2 linked regions of the Schizosaccharomyces pombe genome follow. Changing the gene in region 1 together with any one later gene gives a genetic interaction. Each region holds a gene or a part of one and is shown in the gene's direction. Other genes may lie near its edges.

What was found. Genes that interact genetically often act in the same process or in processes that back each other up.
Region 2: mutations in fub1 (region 1) and hmt2 together harm fitness less than expected from each alone (positive genetic interaction), as found in Schizosaccharomyces pombe (one large-scale study listed by BioGRID).

The regions. Positions count from the first base shown.
Region 1 is NC_003424.3:3,728,716-3,736,562, forward strand, and holds fub1 (PI31 proteasome inhibitor domain-containing protein), read left to right. Parts: upstream 1-3,619; 5' UTR 3,620-3,727; coding exon 3,728-4,525; 3' UTR 4,526-4,648; downstream 4,649-7,847. Other genes in the region: moa1 (meikin), read right to left, coding at 1-319; NatA N-acetyltransferase complex catalytic subunit Naa10, read left to right, coding at 1,092-1,182, 1,269-1,463, 1,779-1,881, 1,929-1,985, 2,189-2,276; glutaredoxin Grx2, read left to right, coding at 2,556-2,709, 2,957-2,977, 3,025-3,093, 3,178-3,266; GMP synthase Gua2, read right to left, coding at 5,022-6,561, 6,762-6,802, 6,846-6,884. UniProt on the Schizosaccharomyces pombe protein: May play a role in the establishment of transcriptional silencing boundaries, preventing the propagation of heterochromatic silencing.
Region 2 is NC_003423.3:2,586,481-2,594,398, reverse strand, and holds hmt2 (sulfide-quinone oxidoreductase), read left to right. Parts: upstream 1-3,465; 5' UTR 3,466-3,919; coding exon 3,920-5,299; 3' UTR 5,300-5,395; downstream 5,396-7,918. Other genes in the region: DNA-directed RNA polymerase III complex subunit Rpc25, read left to right, coding at 1,229-1,436, 1,553-1,639, 1,691-1,959, 2,094-2,141; tkt1 (transketolase), read right to left, coding at 5,821-7,878. UniProt on the Schizosaccharomyces pombe protein: Catalyzes the oxidation of hydrogen sulfide, with the help of a quinone.

The DNA.
Region 1 (7,847 bases):
TCATGCAAGACTTCGGGGTCGACGTTGCTACAGGTTTAAGTTTGTAAAATAACTCGAGATCAAATTTTAAAATGTTTAAGCCTTCGTAACCATTTACGGGGAAATCGTCAGCAGTTTTTGTCTCAGGTGTCTTAATTATTGAAAAATCAGATGGAAGAATGTTTGAAAAGGCTTGATTTTGATGAATTGGTAATGTTTGATTAGTTTTGTCTTGTAAAGCTGGACGTGTCGAATTCTTTTTTTTTGAATTTGATATTTTAGGATTCTTGTTTTTTTTTATTAATTTATACTCTAATTCGTTTTCATTATTTATAGCCATAAATGCAATCTATTGTTTTTTTTCGCTTAATGTTTTATATGATTAATGCGGTTTTGTTTACATTTTTACCAATGGGAAAACCTAATGTTCGAGGTCTACTAGCTGAATTTACGAATAACAAATCTTAATGTTTTTTCGTTGAGTTTACTTAGCCTAAGTGAAACCACAAGGCTGCTGTTAAAACTTTTAAAGGAAAACCAAGGTAGTGTGACTTTAAGATAATAAAGGATTCAATCAAGCATCGCTAATCCTTTTTGATTCCACAGTAAACAAAATATGTTATGGTGATTATAAGTATTAACTTAGATTATATAATTAATGGCTAATTAATATAAAGTTTTGATTTAATGTCTTTAAGTGTGCAATCCATCGTAAACATCATTGTCTATTTATAATAAGGATTTCTCATCATCTGCATTGAAAATCAAAACAACTTAGGAAACGCAACATTAAGTAATTAGAAATTTGGTTATGCAATGTGTACTAAACGGCTTGTAACTTAAAAGGAGCTTAACGTCGAACATTGTGAGTCTCCAAAAAACATAGTTTTTTTAGCAAAGCAGTAAATATTTGACGTTAAAATACTTGACAGATAATATTAACATCAAATGAATCTTATCATTTCTAAAAGCTTTGCAGTAGTTGCTTTGCATTCCCTGAATTTCGTTTTACATTCACTGCGCTTTCTTAAAATATGGTATGCTGGAAATTTGATTCCAACCACTAACAAACAAAAATCATAGATATTGCTAAAAATTAAACGATTGGCAAGATGGATATTCGGCCAGCTCGTATAAGTGACCTTACTGGGATGCAGAACTGCAACTTACATAACTTGCCTGAAAATTATCAGTTAAAATATTGTAAGTTCAATTCATTGTAATTCTTGCTGCACGGCAATGAACTTCCAGTATTAAAACAATGATTCTTATTTTCTAATTTAATGTAGACCTTTATCATGCTATTTCTTGGCCTATGCTTTCTTATGTTGCTACTGATCCGAAAGGACGTGTCGTAGGATATGTTCTTGCAAAAATGGAAGAAGAGCCTAAGGATGGGATCCCTCATGGTCATATCACAAGTGTCTCAGTAATGCGCTCCTATCGTCATCTAGGACTTGCTAAACGTCTCATGGTTCAAAGTCGTAAGTGTTAATTGAGAGCGAAGTAGATTACGGATATATCCAAGGAGGAGCTAGAGGGAAATCTTAAGCTTTTTTGCAGTTGTTATCGATGATTATTCCAATATGTATATATTTTATTTTGTGCAAGACTTGGTCTGCTAATACTTTGAATTGTTCATTTGGTGAGTTGGTTTTTTCCTTGCAACAATTCATTTTTTTTACCTAATTTGTTTTCGACAATGTTTCCTTCCTGCTGATTCCTTGATATTTTCGGTCCATTCCTTAAACAAAATTTTTTTAAAAAAAGTAAAAGATACTAACTACTTAAATGAACAGAAAGAGCCATGGTCGAAGTTTATGGCGCCAAATATATGAGTCTTCATGTTCGTAAAAGCAACAGAGCTGCTATTCATCTTTATCGTGATACTTTGCAATTTGAGTATGTTTTTACTCGCCATCATTGAAGAGATTCTAACATTATTTTAGCGTTCAAGGGATTGAAAGCAAATATTATGCTGATGGTGAAGATGCTTATGCTATGCAGTAAGTACTTTGTTGTAAAAACTAGGTTGGGGATGGTTGCATGGATCGTTTAATGAGTATTCTTTCCAAAAACTATATACAATCTTTGTGACAATCGTTCTTTCTTTAGTTTGGTCAACTTCTGTATAATTACCTACGTTGTTTCAGACAATATATGACTGTTCAACGTCATCACAACTATCTAGGTTACTAACAATTTTTAGCAAAGATTTTTCTACTTTGAAATTCGATACACCAGAAACCAACGACGAACTAGCAAAAACCGTTCAATCTCTTGCATTGAACAACTAATAAAATATATACCGTTATTTCTAATTAGTGAATTAGGGTGTAGTGTACGATACTGCAGTTATAACTTCGTGATAGCGTATTTAACATTTGATTGTACTCGCTTACTGGTGTACTAAATATATTTCGAAATAACTCTTGTAATTTCGAGTTTTTGTTTATCACATCTAACTGCCTAATCGTGTCGTTTGGTGTTAGGTAGCCCAACACCTCGATAGTCATACTGTATTACTTGTCACCAATATCCACTGCATTTTTAGACGAATACCTATTTAAGCTGAAATGACTTCTATAGCAAAAGCTTTTGTTGAAAAGGCGATCTCAAACAATCCGGTTACTGTCTTTAGTAAATCGTTCTGTCCTTTCTGCAAAGCAGCCAAAAATACTCTTACAAAGTACTCTGCTCCGTATAAGGCTTATGAGTTAGATAAAATAGGTAAGTATGGTATTCTTCATTTGTTTAAGAGCTGAAGATTCAGTTGATCGATTGTAAAGTTTCTTGAGTTATGTCTACATAAATTAAGTATATGAAATAATAGTCTAATTGGGTTTTCGAAACCTCATAATTGTGTAATGAAACTACGAAAATTTTTGTTTCCTTCCATGATCTTGAGAAATAGCGAAACATTTCAAGTTTTTTGTTCTGCTTTTCATCCTTTTTAACTAACTTGATGTTACACTAGAAAATGGATCTGACATCCAAGGTGTGTTTAGTTAACAAACTGATTTTATCATATGCTTACCTGAGCAGCTTATTTACATGAAAAGACCAAACAGTCTACAGTACCCAGCATATTCTTTCGCAACCAATTCATTGGAGGTATGAACCCAAATTTGTTTTCCTTGACCATTAATATTCTCGTTGGTTTTTCTCTGTTGTTTATTACTAATACATTATATAAAGGCAATTCCGATTTGAACAAACTTCGTAGCTCAGGCACTTTGACGAAGATGATAGCAGAGCTTAAGGAAAACAAATCTTCAATTTTATGATTATCTTTAGGATTTATATAGCGAACGACTTTACAATATTATTTTTTAGGGAAACGAGATAACGAACTGAATGTGCAGTTGCAAAACAATTCTATTATAACATTAAAGGTATCTTTATCTTCAATCAGTTTCTAGTTTCCTGCTCACTTTGAACAGCAAGTTTTCTTCAGTTGCAAAACACACAGTGTGTGCTTTTTTTTGGAAAAAGTTATTTAGCCAGATTACTTTTCTACTTACTATATACCAAGTTTAATAGTGAAATCATTTGACTTCAATCTCATCACCTCTAGTAGTCGCCATGCATTGATTGCCACTTGGTAATATAAATGACACAACAGAAGCGACCTCACGAAGACACACACACAGTACGTACAAAGTGATGTACTTTTCCTTTGTTCACTGAACCCAAGTAATACAATTGGTTTTTCGTATATATTTATTTATATTATTTTTCACTGATCATGAATAACCCGACTTCCGACGATCGTTTACGCTTCCAACAAAAATGCCATAAATCCATGCTAAACACTGGGGCGATATTTAAAAACTGTAAATTACGAAACGGAGATGTTTTGCAAGAAGTCACTGAAAGCTTAACTGAAGACAGTGAATTCAACTACATTGTAAATGAGTCTCAGAATGTTTCTACTCGTTTAATATTTTGGAATAAATGGATTTATATTTTGTGTGCTAATACTTCATCAAATATCACAGCTACAAGGATTTTCCGTTTAGATGATGATCAGCCTTGGAATTTGGAATCTTTAGTTGCAGAGGTTTGTCCAGTTGATACAGATAATCGGCTTGCTGAACATGCTGCACGTACCGCTAAAGATACCTCGGCTAATGAGTTAAATTATGAATCATATCAGGAGAAGAGCAGAGCTCCATTTGGGTTTGCTGGACCATTTGGTGCAATGCCTGGCTCACAACCAATGTTTCCTTCTATAGGAGCAAGTGATTTGTATCCAGCAGGAATCGGAGGATCTGATATGGGCAACGATGGAGGTATGATTCCTACATTCAATCATCCTATTTTTCATCCTGAAAACAGGTCTCGAAATGAACAAGCTTCAGCAAACCGAACTAATATACCACCAGGAGCTCGTTACGATCCCACAGGCCCTGGTGATTTTCGTGGATTCGGCAGGGATGAGAGGAAACCTCAATTTCCTTTTAAAGGCCCGCGATCTCAATTTCCCGGTGAACCTGACAATGATGACTTCATGCCACCTGGTTCATCCGATATGTTTATGTAAATTGGTCACTTTATAAGTATTACAAGAAATGTTAGATGATAGGATATGTTATTTAAATAATAGTAAAAGATTTTGGTTTTGATTTTTTTTTCTTAATATGTGAATTTTAATGCTCAATTTCGGAATAAACGCATACTACTGGATATCTCTACTTCTTTAAATAATTGAGTTTTCTACTATTTGCGTACAAAGTTTAGTAAGTTCCTCTTCTAAAGAGCGCATTTATACAAGTGTTAAGAATGAAACCAGCAGGACCTAATGAAAACGTCTAGTATTTATTTTCAATAGGACGGTCTTAGCACCGAATTGATAATTTCAAAACATACACTCGGGCACATGCCTACTCATAAATTTTTTAAGCTGTTAGATGTTTATTATTTAACCTCATCTAAACTTATTTACTACTACCTGCCACTAGAATCCAAGAACTAAACAAATTTCTAACCAAAAGTATAAAAGATGTAACAAAAGGTACCGTATGCTGTTAGGAACATTATTACTCCATTTCGACAGTTGCCGGAGGCTTACTGCTAATGTCATACAATACACGATTAACACCAGACACTTCGTTGCAAATACGGGAGCTGACCAACTTCAAAAACTTAATGCTAAACCCATCGTACCAATCAGCTGTCATAAAATCAGAAGTGGTAATAGCACGAAGAGCAATTACTTGTTCATGAGTACGCTTGTCACCCATAACACCGACAGCCTTTACCGGTAAAAGAGCAGCGAAAGCTTGAGAAATTTTATCATAATAGCCGTGGTTACGAATTTCAGTAATAAAAATGTGGTCGGCTTTACGCGCAATTTCAAGCTGAGCAGCATTAACTTCGCCAAGGATACGAATGCCCAAACCAGGGCCTGGGAAAGGATGACGCCAGACAAGGCTATGTTCAATACCAAGTAATTCACCCAAAGCACGAACTTCGTCTTTGAAGAGCTCACGAAGGGGTTCAATAAGTTTGAGCTTCATGTCCTTCAAAAGACCGCCAACATTATGGTGGGTTTTGATTGTCTGAGAAGGGCCCTTGAAAGAAATACTTTCTATGACATCAGGATATAATGTTCCCTGCAATAAGTATTCAACTTTACCGTTGGTTTCTTTAACAATTCGCTCAGCCTCTCGTTCAAAAACATGAATAAACGTGTTACCAATGATCTTTCGCTTCTTCTCGGGATCAGTAACACCTTTCAGTTTTCCAATGAACTCTTCAGAAGCATCAACTACTGTTAATTGAATTCCTAAATGCTTATTGAGGGTTTCACGAACAATCTCTGCTTCATTAAGACGCAGCAAGCCATTGTCAACCATAATGGCATGGAACCGATCTCCAATAGCCTCTTTCAGAACCTTTGAAGCAACTGTTGAATCTACACCACCAGAAACAGCACCAATGACATGATCACTTGGTCCAATCATTTTACGAATACGAAGAATTTCTTTATCAACGAAATTTTCCATACTCCAGTTGGGCTTAGCATGGCAGATTTCAATGGCAAAGTTCTTAATAAGTTGCAAACCTAATGGAGTGTGAGTAACTTCAGGATGGAATTGCAAACCAATGATGGGCTTTGTAACATGTGCAATGACAGCGAAAGGAGAATTCTTGGTGCGTCCAATTGTTTCATAGCCATTGGGAAGAGCGCTTAGTCTGTCGCCATGAGACATCCAAACCTCAAATTCTTTTGGCATGGAGTTAAAAAAGCTTTTGAAGACCTCGGTTTTGATTTCAGGTTCCATACTAACTGTAGCTGGACCGTACTCTCTCTCGATACCTGGTTCAACACAACGTCCATTCAACCATGCAATTTCTTGCATGCCATAACAAATACCGAGTACAGGAACACCAAGTTCAAAGACAGCAGGATCCACATGAGGTGCAATGTCATCGTAAACAGAATAGGGGCCGCCAGACAAAATAACACCAATAGGCTTAAATGGGAGAGCTTCTATTTTTTGAGTGCAAGGAAGTAACTCTGCATACACGTGAATCTCACGAAGACGTCTGGCAATCAAATGACTATACTGAGAGCTACAATTATGGTTAGTACAAACGAATCAGGAAGTCGAAAAGACCACTACTAGAGCCATTTTTATTTTTTATGAGATAAAAAATAGGCTCATTGAAGAATTGATCAGAGAAGAGATAAAAAATTCACAACTAATATATCACAAGCGCGAAACTCCTTCAATCACAATCAAATTCATTTTAATATAATTTTTAAAACGTACCCAAAGTCAAGAATTAAAATGGTATCAAAATATGAAGAAACCTTTGATATTCAGATCAGTAATGATGCTAACAAGCAAACTTACAGAAGTAGAGACTTCCCCGGGCACTTCAGTGGAACTCATGATGAGTAATTAAAATTAAGTCTCTTTTAATCTAATGAAGTTGGAATCTTTATGGCAACTGGCAATGACCACTGGTAACCCCTAAATGGCACAAAGTACTAGTATGGTGAAGTTGCTAAATCCTTGCGAAAAAAAATGTAGCCTTTTAAAGATAGACCAATGTAATGCGCATACACTATTGTTTATAACGAATTTTAGTGCAGCAATGTATCGCTCGTAATATTTCAGATATCTCCTTTTTCGATTTCTCCATATAATATAGGAGGTTTTAAGGTGAAAATTCACTTTTCGGATGAGTTATAAAGCACTCATATATGATATTTATGAAATTTTTTTATCCTCTTATTTTACTCTTTAGCTGTAGTCTTCGAATTGTATCATAGCCTTTCTCTGCCATAAATATAAGTTTTCAGAAAATAAAATGATAAAAAATATCAATTACTCATTTAACAAGTGGTAGCCATTGTTATAGCTTTTTTTTTATATCTTCTGGCCATGCTCAGTTTATTATTATTTTTTTTTTCATTGATCTGTGAACTTGTGTATGGTTGTTTCCATTTTATTACAATCCATAGAGCATGCAGGCAATTTCTTAAAAATAATCGAACTCCATTCAATTAAAAGAATGTTTCAGATTCTGTTCTATCAGAATAAATTGCTAGTTAGCTTATAAAATAAGTACAGTTATATTTTATTATTGACTGCTATAACTGCTATAACATGTATATGCAGTAACATTTTTAACATTAAATAATGTTGAAAAGTTTATAATATTTAAGAATCAATCAAATTTTGGTACATAATATTAAAACAATTTACTAAATAAAACATAAAAATAAAAAAAAAGCAAAATTATACTTATTTGCTTAATTAAAAAGATAAAATATAAATTTATTATCGAAGACTGCAATATAATAGCAGGTCTCGTGGCCCAATGGTTAAGGCGCTTGACTACGGATCAAG
Region 2 (7,918 bases), on another chromosome or scaffold:
GGTTTCTATTGATAAATAATAAATATATGTATAATATTTAAGTTGGCATTTGACACTTTGCTCTAGAGTAAATTCTTGGAAATATTCATACATCATCAGCAGCTTTAGCGAATTTTAGCAATGTCGCTATACTGAATTGAGTGCTGCAACAAGAGTTGTTAAAAATTCTCAACTGTAACAACTGAGTGTTTTAGGGTGGATGCCTTTTATTAAGCCGGACCGGACCCATTCTATTCATTATATAGTAAATTTCTCTCATTGTCTTCAAATGTTTTATGAACTATTGAATTCGGATGAGTAAGAGTAGGGAAAACATAAGTCTGTTTGTAGTGTCAAGTATCAAAAGTTGTTAAACATTAAATTCAAAAATTTTGGCGTTCATGTAACAAAATGAAATATTTAACTTTTTAATGACTAAAAAATGATTTACTTAAGTTTTCTAAACTATGCCAATATTAAAGTTAACAGAATCGTCAAATTTTCAGGAAATTTTAGTATGCCATACTCTCGTTAGATATGTTTGCAGCAATATTTAATTAATTATTTTCCTTTTTTTTATCTTTAAATACTGCTCATAGATATTAACAAAAAATGTTTATTTACAAATATGCTAGAATTTGTAAATAGAAAAAAAAGCTAAAATAGCTAATAATTTTAAAAAATTATTTAGTAGTTCGATTTTCAAAGAATTCTTTCATTAATTATTTGTTTTTACTTCTTAACTGCTCATGAGCATGTATATCGACAGAACACTCAACAATCTTGTTATATTCATCCTTTTAACTATTTAAAATTTATATTAATTCTGTAATAAATTTGTATGTTTGAATAAGCGATTGAAACTTCTACTCATTATAATTTTTCAATTGTAAACAATATTTCATGGATTTGTCTTAAAGCTACTGCGCTAAAACTTCACTGGCCTCGCTAAGTCGTTTAACACGCTTTTCATTAGATCGTTAACTCGCCATGAATGGTCTGGTATGCAACATAATCTTCGTATTCATATTTTTACGCGACCTGGCAAAGAAAGCTGGGCTTGCAGTTAAATTACTTTTTTGAAAGGTTCCTTTTGATTTATGCAAAGTTGTTGACCAAAAGGTTAAGAAATATTTTTAAATTGGATTGTGATCCACTGTTGTATTTCTAATTATTTATCGTTCTATTCAAGTTAAAGATTTTTTCTACAAGGTGGTAAAAACTACGAGTAATAGCCGTTTTATTATTTATGTTTCTCTTGAGTCGGTTTTCAGACATTATAAGCATCCATCCATCCAATTTTTGGAAGCCTACAAAGGAAGCACTGGCTGAAGAAATCCATAAAAAGTATGCTAACAAAGTGATACAAAACATTGGACTGGCTATTTGCGTTTATGATTTTTTGAAAATTGGGGAAGGAATAATTAAATACGGAGATGGCTCTTCATACATGAATGGTAAGTATAAGTCTGCTCACTTTATTTCATATGCCAATTCGCATTATCAATACGAAAGGCTGTCAGGATAGTGATTCAGTGGAAAAGAAAAACTTAAATGGTTCTAATTAGATTAGTGGTTTTCCGCCTTATAATCTTTCGTCCTTTTCGAGGTGAAGTAATGCTGGGAAAAATAAAATCGTGCAGTGAAGAAGGTATTCGGGGTATGTTAAATGTGTTTGTTTAAATGCTTGTTGTTAATGTTTTTCTCCCAGTAACTATTAGCTTTTTTGACGATATTTTCATTCCGAAAGATATGCTTTTCGATCCATGTGTCTTTCGTCCGGATGAGCGTGCCTGGGTATGGAAAATTGAAGGGGAGGACGGCTCAGAGGGAACCGAATTGTATTTTGACATTGATGAAGAAATACGCTTTCAAATAGAATCTGAGGACTTTGTTGATATTTCACCTAAGAGGAATAAAAATGCAACCGCGATTACAGGCACAGAAGCATTGGAATCGGTATCCCCATATACATTGATTGTAAGTTTTTTTTTTTATGTTTAGGGCGAAACTTGTGTCATTATTTATGAAGGGTGCACCATCTATTTGCTAGTATACAAGAAAATATTTTCTGCTTCTCTCAAATCGATAGAATTTACTAACTATATATTTAGGCTTCCTGTTCTCGTGATGGACTGGGCATTCCTGCTTGGTGGAAATGAGCTATTGGATTCGAATCAAAGTCAAACAAAATTTAAAAGCATCAATTAATCATTTACTCCAAATTGTATAAGTAGACTTTCATTCATGTTCTATTTTTCTTCATCTAATGCATCACCAAAATTTCCCAAAAATCACGTGGTCTAGAAAATGGTTGCAATTCTATTCTGTACATTCATCCCGTCTTATAAATTTCATTGCCGAAGGTTTTTGCACAAACCTTTTGGGGTTTTATTATTTCGTTGGAGATACCTGTGTTGTTTTTAGACATGTCCTACTTAAAGGTTGCTTTTAGTGAAAAAGGGTTATTTATAAATCAACTACTTCTTTTTTTTTTTTTTTTTTTAGCTTTTCTCTATTTAAAGGTATATTATTGTATCGAAAAATCAGTTTGTTTACATCTTTGCACAGCAACACATAATGGTTATGAAAACGGCGTTCTTCAAAATTTACCTTCTTGGATGATCATGGTATTTGCTAACAGGGGGCTACTTTAATAAAGGTACTTTCATGTCAAGCTTAAATTTAATCTGGTTAAAAGAGTCATATGTTCTAAAACTTTATATTCAATCTAACAACTGAAGATTCCGCACTGCGTAAAGGAATTTTTCAATGTTAAACAAACGATCCATGCTATGTATGATTTGATTGATTTTGGTATTGTGTATACTAATGTTTAGTAGTATTACCGAATATGGAAAATTTAATTAATTACACAAAAGAGCCGATTCATTTTATAGCATAATAGAATATCAGTCTACTTTTTATGAACAATGTTTGCTTCTTCAGCAAAGAATGTCCATCGCCAACCCACGTTACTCTTTAGTACAGCCGATTTTCGTTATATGTCAGAAAATAGCAACCTTAACATTTCAGCGCCTTGCTATTTGCTATTTGAAAATGACCAACAGCAATTTGACAAACTTCTAATTTTGTTGTATTTGTGCACAAATGCATGGACGTTATAAAGGATTCTTTCGGCTACTGTACTACTTTAGGGATAAACGAATATTTTTGCAAAATTAAAAATACACATACCCACAAAATCATTCACTTTCTTACTTCTAGTACTATTATTAATTTACGGAAACATGCATTAAGCAGCTTTTATGAGTTCCTTAAGCCTCGATAGCTTTTGCTTTACAAACTTTAATGAAACTTAGCAAATCCACGTGATTTGCCCCTAAAATGAATAAAGTTATGCCACATATTTCGGAATCACAAGCAAAGCGCAAGCACTTGACAAAATTGCGTAACCGATTACGCCTTCGGAGCTGACGTGAGTTATCGACTGAATATAAACACCTTATGCTGCTAATTCTGATTAGTCGACTGTATTTGCAAATATTTTCTACATAGGCTTGTCTTCCGTTAATTCTATTTTGTACACTACACCATTCTTTTTAGACGACAGCCGGTAGACTAAATTGTGCTTGTTTCTTGAACAATTAAAGTACATTGAAGAGTGCATATAAAAGAAATAAAAAATTTTTTTTTTTCTTTTACTTCGCTTGAGTCAAAACAGACTAGCACTTATTCTAGTACACTTGAAAGGTGGTGCTTGTTTGACTACATTCTTTGATATTGTAATCAAAAATTTTTTTTTTAAAAATTCCTTTTCTCCTGATTTACTTATTGAGGTGTTAAATTCTTGAAATTTTAAACGCGTTTTTTCCGCTCAACCTCTGTTTTCTTGTGTTTTATTAGGCTACTTTTTGCCTCCTTTTTTTTTCCTTTACCTTTAAAAAAACACTTCTCTTTTGCATTTTTGCAACTAAAAATGTTGACCTTAAACTCAACAATCAAGTCGGTCACCGGCTCATTTCAGTCCGCTTCCATGTTGGCTCGATTCGCCTCTACCCATCACAAGGTTTTAGTAGTTGGTGGTGGATCCGCTGGTATATCCGTCGCCCATCAAATTTACAACAAGTTTTCTAAATACCGCTTTGCCAATGACCAAGGCAAAGATACATCCCTCAAACCCGGTGAAATTGGTATTGTGGATGGTGCCAAGTATCATTATTACCAACCTGGTTGGACTTTGACTGGTGCTGGATTGAGTTCTGTTGCTAAGACCAGACGAGAATTGGCTAGCCTGGTTCCTGCTGACAAATTTAAACTCCATCCTGAATTTGTTAAATCCTTACATCCTCGTGAAAACAAAATAGTTACTCAAAGTGGTCAAGAAATTAGCTATGATTATTTGGTTATGGCAGCTGGTATTTATACTGACTTTGGCAGAATCAAGGGTTTAACTGAGGCTTTGGATGACCCCAACACCCCTGTAGTTACTATCTATTCAGAAAAATATGCTGACGCTGTTTATCCTTGGATTGAAAAAACCAAGTCTGGAAATGCCATTTTTACTCAACCCAGCGGTGTCTTGAAGTGTGCCGGCGCTCCACAAAAGATTATGTGGATGGCTGAAGATTATTGGCGTCGTCATAAAGTTCGTTCCAATATTGATGTATCCTTCTACACTGGTATGCCTACTCTTTTCTCGGTTAAGCGCTATTCTGATGCCCTTCTTCGCCAAAATGAGCAATTACATCGCAATGTCAAGATTAATTATAAAGATGAGCTTGTTGAAGTTAAGGGATCTGAACGTAAAGCCGTATTTAAGAATTTAAACGATGGCTCTCTCTTCGAGCGTCCTTTTGATCTTTTGCATGCCGTCCCCTCTATGCGTTCTCATGAGTTTATCGCAAAGAGTGATTTGGCTGATAAATCTGGTTTTGTTGCTGTTGATCAATCTACTACACAATCGACCAAGTTCCCCAATGTTTTCGCTATCGGTGATTGCAGTGGTTTGCCAACTAGTAAGACTTACGCTGCCATTACTGCACAAGCTCCTGTTATGGTCCACAATCTTTGGAGTTTCGTTAATGGAAAGAATTTAACTGCATCATACAATGGTTACACTTCATGCCCGCTACTCACTGGCTATGGTAAGCTTATCTTGGCCGAATTCTTGTACAAACAAGAACCTAAAGAATCTTTCGGTCGCTTTTCTCGTTTCCTTGACCAAACTGTACCTCGTCGCATGTTTTATCACCTTAAGAAGGACTTCTTTCCTTTTGTTTACTGGAATTTCGCCGTCCGCAATGGTAAGTGGTATGGCAGCAGAGGTTTGATTCCTCCTCACTTTCCTGTTAATTAAAGATTCAATCATCTTTCTTGCGTAAAATAATGCAATCTGCTAGGCATGATTTAGTAGCAACCCTTATATAATTGAATGTTACCCCCTTTCCTTACCATACCTTTACTAGGTTTATCTTTGATTAGAAAAACAGTGTTGATTATTAAGTACTCTAAAGTTATGTACGTCTGTGAATGTTTGAATAAAGTTATTAAATAAATATCAACTTTTTACTTCTAATTTTAAATATGAATAAAAATAGTTTGTAATACATCAACTATAAACGCCAGTAAACTGCACTTACATTGACTAAAGTAGATGCAAAATTATTGTAATACTCTACTCACAATTCCAACTATATCGTCGAATATCATATATACAAAAATATATATATTTATGCATTCATATTTTGCTCACATTTATAGACTTACATTCAAATAAAGACAAAACACAATTCACTCATAACTACTTCCTTCCGCACGAATTGAATTCTAAGCCAGCAAATCAATCCTAAAAGAATCTAGAGAAAAAATGCTACTAAATTAGAAAGCACGGCGGACAGGGGAACGAATATAAGGGATATCCTTGTAAGCATCAACAGTCTTTTTGGCACGTTGAGCAACACCAGAGGTGGTGAAATGGAATTTCTCGTATAATTTGGGAGCAGGGCCAGAGTCACCAAAAGTGTGCATACCAAAGGCCTCGTGAACGTAACGTCTCCAACCATTGGTAGCCCAAACCTCGACGGACATAGCAGGAATACCGTCAGGAATGACAGAAAGACGGTAGCTTTCTGGTTGTTGTTCGAAAACTTCCCAGCAAGGCAATGAAACGACACGAGCCTTCAAGTTGTACTCGGTCTCAAGGGTCTTGACAGTGTCAATGCAAAGAGAGACTTCAGAACCAGTACCGACAAGAGTAATATCGGCCTCCTTGTTCTCCAACATGACATAACCACCCTTAAGAGCATTTTCAATAGTAGAGTTCTCAAGTTGAGGAAGGTTTTGACGAGTCAAAGCCAAAATAGAAGGAGTGCTATCACTAGTCAAAGCACTGTAGTAAGCAGCGGAAGTTTCATTACCGTCAGCGGGACGCCAGCAGTTAATGTTGGGCATAGCACGGAAATGAGCAAAAGTCTCAATAGGTTGATGGGTAGGACCGTCCTCACCCAAACCAATAGAATCATGGGTAGCAACATAAATGACACGGCTGTTGTTCAAGGCAGCCATACGAACGGCACCGGCAGCATAAGAAACAAAGTTCAAGAAAGTACCACCGTAAGGGATGATAGGACCATAGACGGCCAAACCGTTCATGATACCAGCCATACCATGCTCACGAATACCGTAACGAATGTAACGACCGGCATAGGTACCGAGCTTGCTAGAAGGAGGTTGGAAATCAGCAGCGCCTTCCCAACGAGTCAAGTTAGAAGGAGTTAAATCAGCGGAACCACCAACAAGTTCAGGCAAGACAGGGCAAAGAGCATCGAGAACAATTTCTGAAAGCTTACGAGTAGCGACAGCTTTGTCACCGGGCTTGTAAACAGGAAGATGCTTCTCCCAACCCTCGGGGAATTTACGGCTCAAGATACGCTCAAGCTGATTGGAAAGATCAGGGTAAGATTGCTTGTAAGAAGCATACATTTTTTTGTACTCTTCTTCAGCAGAGGAAGCGATGGCGACACGCTCCTTGTAGTAGGCATAAACCTCGGGAGGAACTTGGAAAGTCTTGGTGGGGTCGAAACCAAAGAGTTTCTTGACATGAACACAGTCTTCAGGCTTAAGAGGACTGCCGTGAACACTGTGAGTACCTTGAAGTTCAGAACCGTAACCAATGGTGGTCTTGAGGTTAATCAAAGTAGGCTTGTCAGTGCAAGACATGGCTTCACGGAAACCCTTTTCAATACCATCAAGATCAGTATCACCGTTGGCAACACGAACGATGTTCCAGCCATAGGCCTCGAAACGCTTTTCAACGTCTTCATCAAAGGACATAGAGGTAGCACCGTCAATGGTAATCTTGTTGTTATCCCAAACAGCAATCAAGTTGCTAAGCTTCAAGTGACCAGCCAAGGAACAGGCCTCGGAAGAGACACCCTCTTGAAGACAACCATCACCCAAGAAGCAAAAGGTGTAGTTGGAGAAAAGGTCAAAACCAGGCTTGTTGTAAACAGCAGCAGAATGAGCTTTGCCAATGGCAAGACCAACAGCACTAGCAATACCTTGACCCAAAGGACCAGCACCAGTCTCAATGTTGAGGTCAGGGTTATGAGTTTCGGGATGACCAGGAGTCTTACTGCCGACTTGACGGAATTGCTTCAAGTCTTCAATGGTCAATTTGTAACCAAGCAAGTGGCACATGATGTACTGTAAGACACAAGCGTGACCATTAGAGAGAATGAAGCGATCACGGTTCAACCACTTGGGGTGAGCAGGGTTGAACTTCATGATACGACTGAAAAGAACGTGAGCGGCAGGAGCCAAACCCATGGGGGCACCGGGATGACCAGACTTGGCATGTGCGGTGGTATCAACAGCCAACGTACGGATGGTGTTGATAGCAAGGGTATCGATATCAGTATATGAGGAAGAAGTCATATTGAAGATTTTATGAGTTTGAGTATCCAACTAAAGGGAT